5 linked regions of the Macaca fascicularis genome follow. The protein of the gene in region 2 purifies or fractionates together with the protein of the main gene of each other region. This does not show direct contact. Links are inferred from orthologs where the notes say so. Each region holds a gene or a part of one and is shown on either strand. Other genes may lie near its edges.

What was found.
Region 1: the proteins of MYCBP (region 2) and ARFGEF2 purify together in Homo sapiens (co-immunoprecipitation; 4 studies listed by BioGRID and IntAct, with this or other methods). This does not show direct contact. The link is inferred for Macaca fascicularis from reciprocal best matches to the Homo sapiens genes MYCBP and ARFGEF2.
Region 3: the proteins of MYCBP (region 2) and ARFGEF1 purify together in Homo sapiens (co-immunoprecipitation; 4 studies listed by BioGRID and IntAct, with this or other methods). This does not show direct contact. The link is inferred for Macaca fascicularis from reciprocal best matches to the Homo sapiens genes MYCBP and ARFGEF1.
Region 4: the proteins of MYCBP (region 2) and OTUD4 purify together in Homo sapiens (co-immunoprecipitation; 3 studies listed by BioGRID and IntAct, with this or other methods). This does not show direct contact. The link is inferred for Macaca fascicularis from reciprocal best matches to the Homo sapiens genes MYCBP and OTUD4.
Region 5: the proteins of MYCBP (region 2) and SPAG5 purify together in Homo sapiens (co-immunoprecipitation; 3 studies listed by BioGRID and IntAct, with this or other methods). This does not show direct contact. The link is inferred for Macaca fascicularis from reciprocal best matches to the Homo sapiens genes MYCBP and SPAG5.

What each region holds. Positions count from the first base shown.
Region 1 is NC_088384.1:105,052,393-105,055,907, forward strand, and holds part of ARFGEF2 (brefeldin A-inhibited guanine nucleotide-exchange protein 2), read left to right. Parts: intron 1-1,530; coding exon 1,531-1,615; intron 1,616-1,719; coding exon 1,720-1,891; intron 1,892-2,511; coding exon 2,512-2,663; intron 2,664-2,782; coding exon 2,783-2,911; intron 2,912-3,515. UniProt on the Homo sapiens protein: Promotes guanine-nucleotide exchange on ARF1 and ARF3 and to a lower extent on ARF5 and ARF6. Promotes the activation of ARF1/ARF5/ARF6 through replacement of GDP with GTP. Involved in the regulation of Golgi vesicular transport.
Region 2 is NC_088375.1:196,053,939-196,058,081, forward strand, and holds the start of MYCBP (C-Myc-binding protein), read left to right. Parts: upstream 1-1,330; 5' UTR 1,331-1,332; coding exon 1,333-1,416; intron 1,417-1,616; coding exon 1,617-1,689; intron 1,690-4,143. Other genes in the region: GJA9 (gap junction alpha-9 protein), read left to right, coding at 1-150. UniProt on the Homo sapiens protein: May control the transcriptional activity of MYC. Stimulates the activation of E box-dependent transcription by MYC.
Region 3 is NC_088382.1:77,203,192-77,206,706, forward strand, and holds part of ARFGEF1 (brefeldin A-inhibited guanine nucleotide-exchange protein 1), read right to left. Parts: intron 2,797-3,515; coding exon 2,667-2,796; intron 1,068-2,666; coding exon 932-1,067; intron 850-931; coding exon 711-849; intron 1-710. UniProt on the Homo sapiens protein: Promotes guanine-nucleotide exchange on ARF1 and ARF3. Promotes the activation of ARF1/ARF3 through replacement of GDP with GTP. Involved in vesicular trafficking.
Region 4 is NC_088379.1:150,054,398-150,057,912, reverse strand, and holds part of OTUD4 (OTU domain-containing protein 4), read left to right. Parts: intron 1-304; coding exon 305-362; intron 363-612; coding exon 613-730; intron 731-826; coding exon 827-891; intron 892-3,515.
Region 5 is NC_088390.1:34,067,041-34,071,120, reverse strand, and holds the start of SPAG5 (sperm-associated antigen 5), read left to right. Parts: upstream 1-1,273; 5' UTR 1,274-1,342; coding exon 1,343-1,393; intron 1,394-1,653; coding exon 1,654-1,824; intron 1,825-4,080. UniProt on the Homo sapiens protein: Essential component of the mitotic spindle required for normal chromosome segregation and progression into anaphase. Required for chromosome alignment, normal timing of sister chromatid segregation, and maintenance of spindle pole architecture.

The sequences.
Region 1 (3,515 bases), on a different chromosome or scaffold from region 2:
CAGCCTGGATCTCCTGGGCTCGATCAGTCCTCCCACCTCAGCCTCCTGAACTGCTGGGACTACAGGTGGATGCCACTGTGCCTGGCTAATTTTTTGTATCGTATTTCTGCAGAGAGAGAGTTTCACCATGTTGCCCAGTCTGGTCTTGAACTCCTAGCCTCAAGGGATCCCCCTGCCTCGAACTCCCAAAGTGGGAGATTTACAAATGTGAGCTACCACACCTGGTTGAAACATTTTAATAACCGTTTTGCCTCTCCAGTCAACTTTGTTTTCATATTAATTGCTCCCAGTCTTCCAAGTATATGGCAGGCTGTCCCCAGGAGGTGGCAGGATTGGCAAAGGCAGCATATGATCATTTTAACCAAAGGGACATTAGAACTCTCTGTGAAGGCATAATTAGATGCTGTTTACTTTAAACGTATCTCTTATGTGGACCTGGAAGCCTTGGTCTGTTTTGCTTAGTCGGTCAATATGTGACCCAGTTTCATCTCATACTAAAATACCTTTGTTGTGTTCTTCAAAATTTCTACTGTTTCTGTTATGGACAGTTTGGACAGAACAGTTTCTAGCTTCAGCCTCATATTGTATGAGGCTGTGCATCCACATGTTGCTGTCCTTCTCTTCTTGACTAAGGCAAAAAAGTCAGACTTCACCAGCATATTTTTTAGAACAACATAAATATTTTCCATGGTATTTCTACTGTTCAATGTTATAATGGATAATATAGACTATAACTAACAGCTAAACAGCAGTTTTAGTCATCTTTATATCTCATGTCTAGCACAGTGCATGGCACAAAATAGATGTTCTCAGGAACAGGACAGGGTGCGGGGAGGCACTCAAGGCACTTAGTGTGTGAAATGTGGTGAGTTGCCCTCTAGGTCGGCACCAAGTGTAAGATCTCCTGACCTGCTCACTTGCCTCGCCCTAGTCTTGGCCCCAGATGCTTCTTAGAGTCTTTTTAAAAAAATTATTTGAAATTGCTTTATTCAAAGAAGGCTAAATTTTAATTAATTATTTATTTATTTATTTTGAGACCGTCTCACTCTGTCACCCAGGTTGGAGTGCAGTAGCGCAGTCTCGGCTCACTGCAACCTTCACCTCCCAGGTTCAGGCGATTCTCCTGCCTCAGCCTCCTGAATAGCTGGGATTATGGGCAGCTGCCACCACTCCCAGCTAAGTTTTGTATTTTTAGTAGAGACGGGGTTTCACCATGTTGGCCAGGCTGGGCTCGAACTCCTGACCTCAGGTGATCCACCCACCTCTGCCTCCCAAAGTGCTGGGATGACAGGCCTGAGCCACCACGCCCTGCCAAAGAAGCCTAAAATTTGATACAGATTGTTAATGAGCTTTTTCTACACTCTGGGTTGCTAAGTCTTATTCAGTGATGATGAAAGCGTAAAAACTCTTGCCTCATTTGGAATCAAGGGGAGTAATCGGCTGCTTTTCTCATGAAGTGTGTCTCTGTTAGCATTGTATCTTCTAAACCTCATCACTATGAATATTGATATCTCGAATTTTTTTCTCCAGGCAAACTCTGTTTGCTAGTGCTGACACTGCTTATGTCCTAGCATATTCAATTATTATGCTAACTACAGACTTGCACAGTCCTCAGGTAAAGTAGTTCAATGATTTACATGTTGTAGTAGCTAAATAAGTGGCTTTACTTGGGCAATTGAATGTTTTTAAAATGGTTTTTAATTTTTTTTAAAATTACAGGTAAAAAATAAAATGACAAAAGAGCAGTATATTAAAATGAATCGGGGTATCAATGATAGTAAAGATCTGCCAGAAGAGTATCTCTCAAGCATCTATGAAGAGATAGAAGGCAAGAAAATTGCAATGAAAGAAACAAAAGAGCTCACGATTGCTACCAAATCTACTAAGCAGAGTAAGGTCTAATGGCAAATTATTTCTTTTAGTTCTAATTTGTTAGTGTATCAGAGTGCATGATTAGATACTCTGGTGATAAATTTAATGTGCATATCTAGATATCTGAATAGGAAATGTGATTGAACTAATTCTTGTGATTATGTTAGGTCTTTTATAATGTCACTGTCTTGCTAGATTTCTGATGAGGAGCAAGAAGGAATTTGAAATTAGTAATCTGAGAACTAAATTACTCCCAAAAAGTGTTCCTTAAAACTTCACTTTAATTCAGTGGTGATTGTGCCCACCTTGATTAGAATTCTATTAGTTATGGCCCCTGGGGAGCTGTCAGTTTCACCGTTTGAGAAGCAGCAAAGGGTAGTGGTTTAGAGTGCAGGCTCTAGAGCCACACTGCCTTAGATCAAGTCCCAGCTCCTCTACTTAGTAATTGTATGACCCTGGGCAAGTGACTTACCTGCTCATTTTTCCCATCCGTTAAATGGTAATAATATTTGTAACGGACTCACGAGATGGTTGGGAGGATTTAGGAGTTAATCATTGTGTATCTTTTGAAACAGTGCATGGCATGTAGCCAGCCCTCAGGTGATGGCTGGCCACACCTATCGTGCTCTTACTTTATAGATGTAGCTAGTGAAAAGCAGCGGCGGCTCCTGTACAACTTAGAGATGGAGCAAATGGCTAAAACAGCCAAAGCTCTGATGGAGGCTGTGAGCCATGCAAAAGCCCCGTTTACGAGTGCCACTCACCTGGACCACGTCCGCCCAATGTTCAAAGTGAGTATCCTGAGAACTCAGCAAGCATGTGGCTAAGCCTGATTCTGAAGCTGGCCAGCTAGAAGTACTCTTTCCACGCTGAAACTCTGGATGTTACTGAAACCTTCCTTCCTTGATAGCTGGTGTGGACGCCACTATTGGCAGCCTACAGCATCGGACTCCAGAACTGTGACGACACTGAAGTGGCCTCCTTGTGTTTGGAAGGTATCCGATGTGCAATCCGAATTGCCTGCATCTTTGGAATGCAGGTAGGTGTTAAGTCAGCAACGCTCCAGAGATACTGGTGGGTTGTGTTCTTTTAGATTTGGCAAAACTTAGAAATGATCAGAAATTTTCAGTTAATCAAGAGTCTTAGCAAACTACTTACTCATGCCTACTGACAAGAAATCCATAGCTTTGTGATGACAGCTCATTAGGGGCAAAAATGGAGATACGGATTAAAACTGTCTTTAAGAATGGGTAGGCTGGGCACGGTGGCTCACGCCTATAATCCCAGCACTTTGGGAGACCGAGGCAGGCAGATAACCTCAGGTCGGGAGTTCGAGACCAGCCTGACCAACATGGAGAAACCCCGTCTCTACTAAAAATACAAAATTAGCCGGGCGTGGTGGTACGTGCCTGTAATCCCAGCTACTCGGGAGGCTGAGGCAGGAGACTGGCTTGAACCCAGGAGGTAGAGGTTGCGGTGAGCCGAGATTGCACCATTGCACTCCAGCCTAGGCAACAAGAACGAAACTCCATCTCCAAAAAAAATAAGGATAGGTAGTGTCCAAGCTACTTGACTGGCTTAGACAAAACAGACTTCCTGTTCATCTGCCTAACTTACCTGCTTTGGTGCTTAAAAATGCTATT
Region 2 (4,143 bases):
ATTCCAAACACAGCTGATTCTTTGGGAGGGCTGTCCTTTGAGCTAGGGTTGGTCAGAACCTGTAATAATCCTGTGTGTCCTCCAAATCACGTAGTGTCCCTAACGAACAATCTCATTGGTAGGCGGGTTCCCACAGATCTTCAGATCTAGACAGCGGTTGGCTTTTAGACATTGTATATATTATCAGAGAAGTAGCCTAGTGGTGGTGGGGCACGGACAAAATAGATATGGGCAGCTCTAAAGACCAGCTGTTAAGACAGACGGCAAACTCATTTCAGCAAGGGAAAAACAGCTCTAATTCTAGATTGTGAAAGAACACTTCTAAATCCAAAGACATAAGGTTGTCAAATCAGGATTTTTTTTTTTTTTAATGATATTCTTTCGAATGTGTGTAACTGATTTTGGGAATATCACATGTTCAGAACTGGGGCTAAATGGTTTGATCAGGTTTTCTCTTTGAAGAGACCACAGCCTTAGGACACGGTTCTTCATCTACATAATTCCACCTTGGACACTGGGTTAATTTTGTTTGCCCCTGAAACACAATCACGTAGTTTCCTTCTAGACTGCATCCTGATATGTCTCGAGTATAATCACATGTTGCTACCTAGTAAATAAAATCTTAAAAAGATCCGTGGCTTTCTTTCACCAGTTCATAGCATCGTGATTCATTGCCCGGATTGGACTCGGCTCTACTCACTGGACATCTAACCTCTCCACTTAATTAACAGTACGCACCCTACAAGGGTGTTGTGAGGATTAAAATTTAAAATACCCGTGTTTTCTACAGTGCCTGGCGCACAGCGCTCAAAAGCTATTGCAAGCTCGTTACTGCTCATTCTCCAGAAGCCCACATCAAGTCAGCCACGACTCAAGGAGACTCCAAAGATAAAAGCTGGAACCAAAATACATGATTCTAAACACCCTCCTCAGCTACTGCAAAGTCGTGAGCACTTTCTCAGGAAGAGAGCCAAAAAGTCCAGCACCTATGGGTCACCACAGTTTCCGAGGTCCCAGATGAGAAAAATGAGCTCGCTACCACCGTGCGGCGATCCTTCCTCTCGCAATAGTCCCAGTGCTCCCGGGCCCTGCCTCCGGACGCCAGTACAGAGTTACCAAAATCTCACCTCTTGCAAAGAAAACGAATCGCTACGGGGACCGGAAGAGGAAGAGGTGCGGCTCCAACAGCCAGAGGGGCGGGCATACGCAGCCTCCCTCGGCTCAGCCTGCAACGGGGGATGCAGAGCGTCCTGGTCGCCATGAAAACAGGCCACACCCCGGCGATCCCTGCCCGTGGTTCGCAAGTGCGCAGCCGCGCGCCCCCTTCCGCGCATGAGCAGTTCTGCTCCCAACCCGCCAGTCGCGGTCTCCGGCGCCAGCTACGCCGCTGCCGCTGTCACTATGGCCCATTACAAAGTGAGGGGGGCGCGGCGTGGCTGGGGGCATGCGGGCGGTAGCAAGCCGTTGGTCGGCTCTGGGTGGGAGTGGGGTCGCGCGCGCAGGTTTGGGCGGGAGGGCCCCGAGGTAGCGAGGCGGAGGCGGGGTTGCCAGACTCCTAGCACCTTCTTCCTGCTCGGCTCCCGGGCTCTGGCCACTGACCCCCGGTGTCTCTTCAGGCCGCCGACTCGAAGCGTGAGCAGTTCCGGAGGTACTTGGAGAAGTCGGGGGTGCTGGACACGCTGACCAAGGGTGAGCCTGGGCTAGGAGAGGGTACCTCGTGCCCTCGTCGTGCTCCCCGGCGCTGCCCCTTTCCCCAGCGGGCCGTAGCGTGGGGAAGGAGGGGAAACAGATGGGGCCCGTCCGGGGTCCAGCGAGGTGGGCCTCGGGGTTCGGTAGGGACCTGGCTGCTGGAGGCCGCCCGGGTGAGGTAGCCTAGCTACGCTACCCTTCTCTGCACTGGGAGTGAAACTCTTGCAGCTGTTGCAAAGTCTCTTCAACTTCCGTTGCTTTGCCTCGAGCAGCCGCAGTGGACATGTTTGCCAAAGACCTTCAGATCCCAATTCCTCCCACCTTACGGTTTTTGTGGAGTCCTCAGAATCTTGTTAAGAAACAGTTTCCCTCCAACAAAGAGCAACTGGAAAAATGACCGAATTTCAAAGTGGGCTATGAAATAGTTGAGTGAGCCTAATCCCCGAAGTAGGAGATGCATGGCCAATTTGGCTGTGGCTTTTCAGCCCCCATTCCTTAGTCTGTGTCAATTTTTATTTTGTGTATATTTCATAGTTAAAGTAGAATTACAGTTTAAAGAGCTCGAGGGCATATCAAAATGGTTACATTGTTTTCACTTTTTAAAATGAAAACTTACTGTTAACGCTGTATCTCTTCATTCGTGGCTTCGAGATCTAAGTAAGTAGATGAGTAAAGTGTCGGAAACAGGAGGATTCCAAGGGGTAGGGTACAGTTTACTTCATTAGCTTAACAGTAATTTAAATGCCTGCTATGTCACTTAACTCACTGGGATTTTCAAGGGTGTAGAATGGAATTGTTGGCAGGGATCAGGACTTGGGTCAAACTAGGAAGTTTGGGAAGTGTGGGAAATAAGTAGGTAACTGCTCTTTGGACAGAAGCAAAGTTTAGAGGAAAATTCTAGGAGCATAACTCCTGGGTCTTAGCAGAAAGCAGGCTAGTAATTTTGAATTGTTACCTATTTGGGGTTCAGATAATAGTTTACCTCTTTGCAAATAAACTTCAGCAAGTATTAAGGGACTACTCTGAAAGTACTGTGCTATGTTGTCTCTGGAAGTGTCACAGATGCTTTGAATGTCATTCCCTCTAAAAACTCCATAAGTTCATTTCTTTCATTTAATCATTTTACTCAGGCATCTGTTCTGCACACTGGAGATAAGCAGAGGAGGATAAAAGTCTCGGCTCTCATAAGCTTATGTCCTAGTTGAGGGAGACAAATACATAAATACCTAGTGTCAGCTAGAGGTAAGTGTTACAGATAAAAATACAGCAGAAGTTAGGGATAAAGAGTAACAGGTGAGGCCAGGCACGTGGCTCATGCCTGTAGTCTTAGCACTTTGGGAGGCTGAGGTGGGTGGACTGCTAGAGCCCAGGAGTTCAAGAGCAGTCTGGGCAACATGGCAAAACTCCCGTCTCTTAAAAGAAAAAATTGCTGGGCATGGTGTGTGCCTGTAATTTAGCTACTCTGGAGGCTGAGGTGAGAGAATCACTTGAACCCAAGAGGTCAAGGGTCCAGTGAGTTGTGATTGTGCCCCTGGGCAACAGTGACACTCTTTCTCAAAAAAAAAAAAACAAGTGACAGGTGGGATGTGTGTGTCATTTTATATAGGGTGGTGGGGGGAAGGCCTTTCTTAAGTACTTTTGAGCAGAAACCTGAAAGAAACAATATCTGTCAAGAGTTTCAGGAAGTATAAGGAGGCCAGAGTGGTTGGATGGAGCAAGCGAAAGATTGAATGGTAAAAGGCAGAAAAATGACAGTTGTAGGAGGTAACTGACTACACAGAAGATGTTGCCCAAGCTGGAGTGCAGCGGCATGATCTCAGCTGACTGCAGCCTCCACCTCCGGGTTCAAGCGATTGTCCTGCCTTAGCCTCCCAAGTAGCTGGGACTACAGGCATGCGCCACCATGCTCAGCTAATTTTTTGTATTTTTAGTAGAGACGAGGTTTCACCAGGTGGGCCAGGCTGGTCTTGAACTCCTTACCTTGCCTCAGCCCCTCAAAGTGCTGGGATTACAAGTGTGAGCCATCGCGCCTGGCCTCCACTAGAATTTAACCTTTTAATCTCCTTAGATTTCCAGGCTCCTAAATAACATCAGCCAACACAGTATTGACGTGATTTATTAAAAATTTGATTTTCAGCTTCAAACACAGGTGCTTTATACAATTCTATTTGTTTTTACTTTTTATTTTTTTTTGAGACAATCTCACTCTGTCACCTAGGAATGCCTGGCCTCAAGTGATCCTCCTGTCTTAGCTTCCCCAAGTGTTGATGTTATAGGCATGACCCACTGTGCCCAGCCTCACAAATTTAATTTACATATATATATATTTTTTTGAGACAAGGTCTCTGTCGCCCAGACTGGAGTGCAGTGGTGCAGTCACGTCTCACTGCAGTCTTAATCTCCCAGGTTCAAGCAATTCTTCCACCTCAGACACCCAAGTAGCTGGGACTACAG
Region 3 (3,515 bases), on a different chromosome or scaffold from region 2:
GGCCGAGGTGGGTGGATCACCTGAAGTTGGGAGTTCGAGACCACCTGACCAACGTGGAGAAACCCCATCTCTACTAAAAATACAAAATTAGCCGGGCATGGTGGTGTATGCCTGTAATCCCAGCTACCTGGGGAGACTGAGGCAGGAGAATCGCTTGAACCCAAAGGCGGAGGTGTGGTAAGCTGAGATCACACCATTGCACCCCAGTCTGGGAAACAAGAATGAAACTCCATCTCAAAAAAAAAAAAAAAAACCCTGCCTCACTATAATTCCATTTCACACTCATCCCTTAGAGAAAAATGACAAGCTGTTATAAAATATGAAATATGTGTAAATACATTTTCCTTAGATTATTAAAAGATCAGTAACAGAAACAGGCTGAGATTTTTTTTTTCCCAATTCAAAACCACTGCTTGGTTTGATCTGAATAAATAAAATCTTATAAAAGTCAGCGGAATCACTTCACTATGTCCCAAATTTTGGATAACCAGACTAAAGGTTTTGGTTTACAAATAGTTTAATTCATGTATTTGTTATAGTTTATAGCAGTTTGGTTTGTAATAAATCTAAATCCATAAAAGAGTAAGACAAGCTTAAAAGGATTTCTGTTACGAGAAATCAGTAGTTACTATCAAACTTTTAATCACTAGTCACTCTCCAACTCATTCAATATACAAATATAAATGTAAAGTTGTATAAAATCTTCTTACGCATGTGGGATTGTGGTTTTGAAGATATCCAGTGTGCAGTTGCAAGTTTTATCCCAGATTTCTAGGGTAAATTTTTCACCATTCAGAATAACAACATTCTCTAAACAGTTTGTACCAGATCGTGCTAACTGCTCATTGTCTAGGAAAGAAAAGAGCAATTCATTTATATATTACCAGGGTCACATTTAACACTTTGTGTCACATATCTGGTACAGACCTACCTTGCTGCACACACCAGTAGAGCTGAGCAAAAATATCATCCAAAAGTACATCACTGAGTACTTCTAAATACTGAGTGAATACATCACAGATTGCATAAAGTGCATGATTGCAAGTTGTTGTCATCCATTCAGCTTTCTGGGGAAAAAAGTCATTAATGAACATCATGCCATTAATCAACTACTATGATTTAAAAAGATATACATATATATATACACATATATATATATAAATGTTTTCATATTTAAAATGTAAGGCTGTCAGTGTTCCTTTTAGACCACTGAATTCCCTCTAGAACGTTACATTCACCTTAACTTAAAATCTGGTATCTATTGCTCCTCATTATCCCATAACCATCTATGCATACAATAATTTAACTATTTTTGGCACTATTTGTTTTATTAAAAAAAACCATCACCGTATCATCTTGATATTAACATTATGATTTTTCAAAGTGCATGAATAGCAACAGCCAGCCTTGCTCTAGACCATGACAGAATATGAAAGGGAAATAAGGAGGTAAGAATTTGTCCAAATGGGGTTAGCATAGGTTTAAAATAAAAATGACTTTCCTGAAGTATGGGTTATCTGAAAACACCATAAAAAAAGGGCTATACAAAATAAGTGTAATTTATTTTTTCAAACCCATAAAAAATAATCACAGAAGTCTGCATTTAACACTGCTGTATGGAACAAAAGGGGAAAATATGAAGCTCTCTTGACACGTTTCCTAAAATGTATATTGTAACTGGTTCATAGTAAAATATGTCGAAATAAATAAAATTTACTTTGTATTCCTTACTTTTTACATAAAAAAGAAGTCACTATATAATACTAAAGAAAGTTATTGGCCAGGCGCGGTGGCTCAAGCCTGTAATCCCAGCACTTTGGGAGACCGAGACGGGCGAATCACGAGGTCAGGAGATGGAGACCATCCTGGCTAACACGGTGAAACCCCGTCTCTACTAAAAAATACAAAAAACTAGCCGAGCGAGGTGGCGGGCGTCTGTGGTCCCAGCTACTCGAGAGGCTGAGGCAGGAGAATGGCGTAAACCCGGGAGGCGGAGCTTGCAGTGAGCTGAGATCTGGCCACAGCACTCCAGCCTGGGCGACAGAGCAAAACTCCGTCTCAAAAAAAAAAAAAAAAGAAAGTTACTGACGTTTTATAGTTTTGACTGTCGAAACGAGGAAAAGAAATGGAAAAGTCAGAAAAACACTAAAAACAAAACAGAACAAAAAAATCAATTCATTAATTCAGTTCTATCCCCCACATAGCATTCTTTTTCTTTTTTGAGACGGAGTTTCGCTGGTCACCCAGGCTGCAGTGCAGTGGCACAATCTCAGCTCATGGCAACCTCCACCTCCCGGGTTCAAACGATTCTCCTGCCTCAGCCTCCCAAGTAGCTGGGACTACAGGCACCTGCCACCACACCTGGATAATTTTTGTATTTTTAGTAGAGATGGGGTTTCACCATGTTGGTGAGGCTGGTCTCAAACTCCTGACCTCAGACGATCCACACGCCTTGGCCTTCCAAAGTGCTGGGATTACAGGCGTGAGCCACTGTGCCCAGCCAGTGTTCTTATTTATAAAGACATAGTATTATATTCTCATGCCTTAAAGAAAAATTTTCTAGGAATTCTCTTCTGTACTTAATTTGAAACACTAAAATGTATTGATGATAATACTGAGGATCTTTTAACTTGACTAAGCTAAATGAAAATTGTGTATCCTCTTACCTCTGTCTGTTGTTCTGGCAATTTCATATTGTCAAAGATTCGGAAAACAATTCTAAATAAATCCTGCCACCAGTGTTTCTCATAAGTGTGGCCATATGTTTTCATTATTTCAAACATTACTGTTAAACCCCTAAAATGACAAAACACAATTAGAAAGCTATAATACAAAAAAGCATACTCCTCCTAAAATAGTTTTTATAGTTCACAAAGCTACTAAAACCAGAAAGCTTAAAACTAGTCTGAAATTAACACACGACACTGGGTTTTAAAAAAGTTAAGTTGTAAGAACAACAGGTTCCTTTAAGATATATCATTCAGGAAAAAAAAATCTCCAAAGGTCTTGGCCGTAAACTTTTTAATTTTACTTTTCCTTTACTCTTACCTCACCATTGCAGCATTTAAAAACTGTAAATGGAATTACAGATTGAAAACGATAATTGTTTGAGTGAATATTAATTTTGTGGTTCTACAGCCAAAAAAGAAAATACATATATAGCAGTCTAAGAACAAAACAAAAGTTAGATTTTGGAAAATCTTTTTCAAAGAACTATGGGGATTTTCACCCAATACTAGAAGCCTTATTCATGCAACATCCCCAAACAAAAGGATTTACAAAACAAATCCACTAAGGGGTCTTTCTGTGTTTCATTTCTTGCTATATCCCAGGCACACAGCAGTGCTCATTGCCTGGAAGGCAAACAATAAATATTTGCTAAATAAATTGCTTAGCATCACATTGAGTAGCTTTTGTGTAAGTGTTAAAACTGAAACTCAAAACTTTCTTCTTCATTCCTTCCTGTTTCTTGAAATAATACTTTTATGTAACCATTAGAAACTTTAATCTTTTCT
Region 4 (3,515 bases), on a different chromosome or scaffold from region 2:
CGTGAGTAAATTCAATTATTCTACCCACCCAGATTTCACAGTTTATTTCTGTTCTCTTACTGATTACTGAGCCAGTTAGAATTACTGTTGTCTTTGACTTCTATCTTATATATATATACATTTACATACATATACTCTTTTATATATAGATATATTTATACCAAAACTTGTATGAGCTCACTGGAATATAGCTCTGACTTTTTGGAGCATAATTCTGACTTTGAAGACTTTTAGATGAAGTTAGAAGGTAATTACATGCAAATACCTTTTTTCTGCCCCTAATTATGGTTATCTTTCTTTGTAGGAGTAAAACTGCTGCTGCTGCTGATGTGAATGGATTTAAACCTTTGTCAGACAATGAGGTATTTTTTTTTAAAGTGGTTTTAAAACTAGCTCTTTAATATAAGAAAGCATATACATTAAAATCTTAATTTTTTTTTCTTTTTTCTGGTACATTTCAGTCAAGTCAGGATCATCTAAGAAATTGATTTGGTGGCTTCCTAGTTTTTTGAAGTTTCTTTTCTTCATTTGACTTTAGTTTTACATGTATCTCAAACAAAAATGTTTTAAAAGCACTTGTGTTGATTGGACTTCTTGACTTTGTTTGTTTAGCAGCTGAAGAACAATGGGAACTCTACTAGCCTGCCTTTGTCTAGAAAGGTTCTTAAGTCACTCAATCCTTCAGTCTATAGAAATGTGGAATATGAAATTTGGCTGAAGTCTAAACAAGGTGAGTTAAAAATCTGCATTTTCCATAAATTTGCTTTGTAGCACTTGAAAATAAGTCAACTTTATATTATACTGACCTTTTTTTTTTTTTTAACAGCTCAGCAAAAACGTGATTATTCCATTGCTGCTGGCTTACAATATGAAGTTGGAGACAAATGTCAAGTAAGTGACTCATGTAAAATAAGAGATTTTACTTGAAACCTTGCTTTTTCTAATATGAACCGAGAAAACAACTTTGGGATTTCAGAATATATTTATTATGTATATACATTTTAGTAGTTTACAAGTATTTAGCTTTTTGACTCATTTGAATACATTGTTAAAATTGTATGTATCTGAAACTGGCATTCCATCACATGATCTTTAAAAACAATTCAGCCTTTGGTATTAACTTGGTTCAAAGAAGTAATGATAATAACATATCAGATATTGAGGTTTTTTTGTTAAAATTGACTGAAATTGATTCAAAATTGACTATAGGTCATTTAGTTTTGTTTATGAAAATCATCTTGGATGATGTTGGTACATACATAATGTTTACTGTTGGACTGAGGAAGGAAAGTGAACCACAGAGAAGTTTTTGCCAATTAATTTGAATATGCAGCTGCCCTGGGTTTGAGTAGCTGATGGTTAAAAGGAGAAAGTTGGATTAAAATCAGTGTTTCTTAATCTAGTAGTTAACCCCCTCACTTCCTCCCCTGCCCCCCCTACCCCCACTGAACATTCAGCAGTGTCGAGAAATTTTTTACTGTCACAACTGGGAGGGTGCTACTGACATCTAGTGGGTAGAGGCCAAAGCTGTAGCCAAATAGTCTACAGTGCACAGAACAGCCTCCCTCATCTCCCTCTAACAAAGAATACCTAGTCCAAAGTGTCAGTAATGCTTAGGCAGAAGAAACCCTAGGTAAGATAATTTACAAGGTCTCTTCTTGTTTTTTGTTCCTTGTTTATGGAAAAATATTGCTATTTCAAAAACAAAAACAAAACCACATACACAAAAAATGTTATGTGGAAGTTAATTCTCATCAGAAATTATTTCCATCAAAAAGTGTTGCCTTTTAAAAAACAACTTTAAAACAGCCATTGGCAAACATTTATTTTTGACTTACAGAGGAAACATTTACTTTATGATAAATTGGCTTTTGTGAAGTCATCTGATTAGCCAGGATTTTATCTTAAGAACCTTTAATAGTTCTCATTCTGGGGTATTTAAAGGTGAGGAAAAAGAGAACATGATTCATTCAGGTACTGCCTTATGGGATTGTCATAAATCTGCTCTAATTGTAGAAGGAAATTGTGGAAGCTTTTACTACATTGATTGGGAAAACTTGAAAGAGAACAAACGAGATTAAATCCAGGGTTTAAAGGTCTCTCTCCTCACCCTTCTCAACAGAGAAGAGAAGATGGCTTATGCTGTATCATTAAAGTCATGTTATTTTAAGTCAAGCATATTTCCTTTGAGGTTGAAATTGCTTTTGGTAAAGGAGGTGCTTTTGATAAAGTAAATGGAAAAGCACATGCTTTTTTTTTTTCCTTTTTAAAGTATTTTATTTCCATCTGTACTACTTGACCATTTTATTTGGATAACATGGTCATTGGATAATTTGGATAAAATTTTAAGAAACTGAGATGACTCTAAGGTGACTTTTGTTTACTCGAGTGTGTAAGATGTAGTTTAAACTTTTGATTAGAACTAAGTTCAGAAAATTTTTTTATTGTGAAACTTTTGAAGGAAAAATGTCTTGTCATTGATGAAGAATGAAATATCAGCTTGAGGACTTTGGTTTACTACTAAAAGTGGGAGTTTGCTTAAAGCATTGTCCTGTATGTTGTACTTGGCAGGTACACAATTCAGTGTGGGCAATATAACAATAGGAAGAAAACTTAGGCTTTTTTCCTCTTTTATCAAGGATTTACAGTTGCGTAATATTAATTGCAAGAGAACAGTTAATGGATCTATTTTTAGGGATAAAAATCACAGTTACACGTTTTTAATATAGGAAAAATGGGAAGATAATAATTGTAATAATAGTTGCTCTCACTTGTAGAGTGGTTGCTGTGTGCAAATTATGTGTATCCTCTTACGTGTATCCTGTGCACCCTCATTCCATCTCCATGAGTTCTGTGACGTAGGTACTATTATTAGCTCCATTTTGCATTATGAGGAAACTGAAAGGAGAGAAAAATAACTTGCCCATGGTCATGTTGCTGGCGAGTGGAAAAGCCATACCTGGAAGCCTGGGGTATGTGGGACCATAGCCCTGCCTTCAGAACCAGGGCATGTTGCCTCTTTTGTTTAGAGCCTTAACATATTGTGCTCCTACTTTTTGAACAATTTAGAAAATCAGTTTAGAAAAGAATTTAGAGGGACAAAGAAGAAAAGGTTTTCTTTCTTTTAGGTAGGAGATATGGAGGTCTGGGAGGTTAAGGAGATGGATTTTATTGTAGACCTCTTTGGACTTACTTTGTTTTTTTTTTGTTTTTTTTGAGACGGAGTCTTGCTCTGTCACCCAGGCTGGAGTGCAGTGGCCGGATCTCAGCTCACTGCAAGCTCCGCCTCCCGGGTTTACGCCATTCTCCTGCCTCAGCCTCCCGAGTAGCTGGGACTACAGGCGCCCGCCACCGCGCCCGGCTAGTTTTTTGTATTTTTAGTAGAGACGGGGTTTCACCGTGTTAGCCAGGATGGTCTCGATCTCCTGACCTCGTGATCCGCCCGCCTCGGCCTCCCAAAGTGCTGGGATTACAGGCTTGAGCCACCGCGCCCGGCTACTTTGTTTTTACTGATA
Region 5 (4,080 bases), on a different chromosome or scaffold from region 2:
TTTTTTTTTTTTTTTTGTAGACATAGGTCTCACTATATTGCTTAAGCAGGTCTCGAACTCCTGGGTTTAAAGGATCCCCCTGCCTCTGCCTCCTCCGTGCGGGGATTACAGGCAGGAGCCATGGCACCTGGTGCTATTTTGCATTCTTTTTTTCATACGAAGTGTTTGAAATCCAGTTTGTACAGTGTTTTACATTTATAGCACATTCCCACTGGGACTAGTCACATTTGAGGTGCTCAAAAGCCACTATGGCTAGGGCTAATGTATTGGACAACACAGTGCTAGGGAGCCCGTCCTGAGGACGCTGCAGTTTATAACATCATAGTTCCTACTCTTTGGACTGCTGCTTTCCCCCAATGTATTAAGACTTGCAGAGTGTAAATAGGGCGCCGTGAGTGTGCAAAGGAACACACCTTCGCAAACGGCTCACTCTGAATACTTACTTTTCGGCTGTCCTACCTTCAATAGGCTTCCCGTGCACAAGCAGAAGGCAGGAGCTGGCGGGGCGGGGAGGAAGGGCGGCTCTGCCATTTAACTATCTGTGCGATGCTGAGCAAATTACACACGGTCTCACTGACTCAGCTCCTTCCTGTTTCAAATGGGTATTATAGTATTTCTCACTACGTAGGTCCTTATGCGGATTAAATGAGCTACTACACGCCATTCGGCACAGCGCCAGGCACACACTCAATGTTCAATACATGTAGGCGGTAAGCCCAGTAAACTGGTAGCCGGCCTGAGCAAGTCCCAGGAAAAGCCCAGAAACTCTGGAGACATTACAGCCCAGGTCAAGAACCACGGCCCAGGCCGTCCTGTACGCGGGCCCGCCAAGCCTAGGGAAGCAGCTTGTCACCGCTTCGGCTTCTAGACTCCCTGGCCGGCTCTTTCCCGTCAAGGCTGCGGCTGGAGGGGCCTGAGGGAGACCTAGGGAGCGGCTTCCTCTTTCCATCCACGGAGACAACTTGGATGTGAACACCATGAATGTGAGGAGGTCCACTGGAATCAGGAGGGATGGACTCCTGGACTCCCCAGCTACCTGCGGGGTCCTTCCCGGTGTGAGGACACAAGACCTGTCCTGGGCCGGGCCCGCATCCAGCCCTACAGTCGGTGTCTGCGGTGAGGGCTCCGTCAGCGGAAAGCGCGTGACAATCCACGGGCTGGCAGGACCGGGGGCGTGGTCAACGCGGGACCCGCCCCCCGTCCCCGGGCCCCAGCGCCGAGCGGACGCGCCCGCCTGAAGCAGCCAATTGGGAAGCGCAGAGCAGGTTCAAACACAGACGGCGGGTGAACATGGCGTCCTCGACTTGGTTTGAGACGTGATCGGCCTGCCTTCTGGCTGAAGATGTGGCGGGTGAAAAAACTGAGCCTTAGCCTGTCGCCTTCGCCCCAGACGGTGAGCGGGAAAGCTCCGGCGGAGAGAGCTGGGCCGGGCTGCTGGCGCGGGGGCACCGGCCGTGTCGACTGTCCTGGAAAGTTGGGTCGAGCCCGGGGTTGGGTGCTTGTGGAGTCTTTGTTCGCCTTGCCGCTCCTGCGCGACTAGAATGCGAGCCTACTCTTCTAATCGCCTCTTGGGCTTCTTAGGGAGGGAGGAAGGGCGGGCTAGCAGAGCCCAGGCTTCCTCACACTAGCCCTCTTTCTTGATTTCTTTCTTAGGGAAAACCAGCTATGAGAACTCCTCTCCGCGAACTTATCCTGCAGCCCGGTGCCCTCACCAACTCTGGAAAAAGGCCCCCCGCTTGCTCCTCGCTGACCCCATCACTGTGCAAGCTGGGGCTGCAGGTGAGATTCGCCTGGACAGCTTCTCGACTGGGCTGTTTGCCCAGGGTGAGAGCTCAGGGGAACAGAGGGCCAGGGCTAGAATAATTAATAACGATAATGAAGTCTTCTACGTCACTGACATCCATTTACAGCTATTCAGGCCAACAGAGAGGTGCCCTAGGGTGGTTAAAGGAAATCTACTGAGAACCTGAATCTCTGTTTAGCTGTTAGTTTTTATTACCTCCTCCTCCTCCTCCCTTCGACCTTTATCAAACTACTTAGAAATCCTGCCACTCTGATTAGTGCTCTTCCTCCAACATGGGGTCACTTATGGAAAGGTCAGTCAGCTGTAAGATTGAGGCAATATCCATTCACTCTAGGAGGTAGTCAGAACTCTCCTGGGATCAAGTTACACCACTGGAAGGCAGGGTACTTGGATCACCTTAGTTTAAACTAGCCCCTTGCAGAATTGCCCTCACCGATTTGTACTTTTGTTAAACGTCTTGAGAGATGTAGCCATGTAGAAACTGCATTTCAGTTGCTGTCAAAACTTGTCAAGGAAGAAGCTTGACTCCTGTATAAGATTCCTCAAAGAAAGGCTTTGGGACTAACTGCCTGGAAAAATTGTCTTCCTGAAGAAATTGCTATCCTTTTCTTTCTGATAATGAGAACTATGCAGTTTACCATATTTTCCCTCTTGCTCTGCCTTCTAGAAAGCTCAAGGCCAAACTGGATCATCACATACAGCTACTGTTACTCGCAAAATAGGAAGTTTTGCTTCCTCTTTTTTGACCATGACTTTGTTATTTCATTAATCATATCTATTCATTTTCATGCATATGAATTATTTTTGGAAGGAGATGGGATATCAGTAAAATTGGTTTGAGGAGGAAAGAGTGTATAAAGACAGATGACATCCTGAGTAACAGTAGGATGATAGCAGTCTTTCTTGAAAGAGTTGCAAAATACCTACTGTCCAATAGAACTTTCTGGGATGAGGGAAATATTTGATAATCTGTGCTGTCCAGCATGGTAACTACTAGTCACATGGTTACCGAGCACTTAAAATGTGGCTGAGGTGACTGAAGAATTGAATTTTTTTGTTTTTGAGATGGGAGTCTTGCTCTGTCACCCAGGCTGGAGTGCAGTGGAGTGATCTTGGCTCACTGCAATCTCTGCCTCCAGGGCTCAAGGGATTCTCCTGCCTCAGGCTCCTGAGTAACTGGGATTACAGGTGCATGCCACCACACCCAGGTAATTTTTTGTATTTTTAGTAGAGATAGGGTTTCACAATGTTGGCCACGCTGGTCTCAAACTCCTGACCTCAACTGGTCCGCCTGCCTCGGCCTTCCAAAGTGCTGGGATTACAGGTGTGAGCCGCTGCGCCTGGCCTGAAGAATTGAATTTTTAATTAAATTAAATTAAATTTTTTTTTTTTTTTTTTTGAGATGGAGTTTCGCTCTTGTTGCCCAGGTTGGAGTGCAATGGTGTGATCTCGGCTCACTGCAACCTCTGCCTCCCGGGTTCAAGCAATTCTCCTGTCTCAGCCTCCGGCATGTGCCACCACGCCCAGCTAATTTTTGTATTTTCAGTAAAGATGGGGTTTCTCCACGTTGATCGGGCTGGTCTCGAACTCATGACCTCAGGTGATCTGCCCGCCTTTGCCTCCCAAAGAGCTGGGATTATAGGCGTGAGCCACTGCGCCTGGCCTGAATTTTTAATTTAAATAGCTACGTGTGACAGGTAGCTATCATATTAGACAGTACAGCTTAAGGTGGAAAATAAATAAGTACTAGGTAGAAATTGAGCTCTATAGAGCTTATAGAATTTATTATGATTATTAATTAATTTATTTATTTTGAGATGCAGTTTCGCTCTTGTTCCGTAGGCTAGAGTGCAATGGCATGATCTTGGCTCACTGCATCCTCTGCCTCCTCGGTTCAAGCGATTCTCCTGCCTCAGCCTCCCTAGTAGCTGGGATTACAGGCATGTGCCACCACGCCTGGCTAATTTTCGTATTTTTAGTAGAGATGGGGTTTTGCCATATTGGCCAGGCTGGTCTCGAATTCCTGACCTCAGGTGATCCACCTGCCTCAGCCTCCCAAAGTGTTGGGATTACAGGCAGGAGCCACAGCGCCTGGCCTGAGCTTATAGAATTTAACCATGATTATTTAATCACAATAGCAGAATACTAGATTGAAATTGAATTCTCCTTCCCTCTTAACTACTGGGCGTACTACCTTCAGATGTAGTCAGCTACTCGATGAAAAGGGTTTTTCCCCAACAAAATAGCCATTATTTTTGTTTTGTAAAAAAAATTTT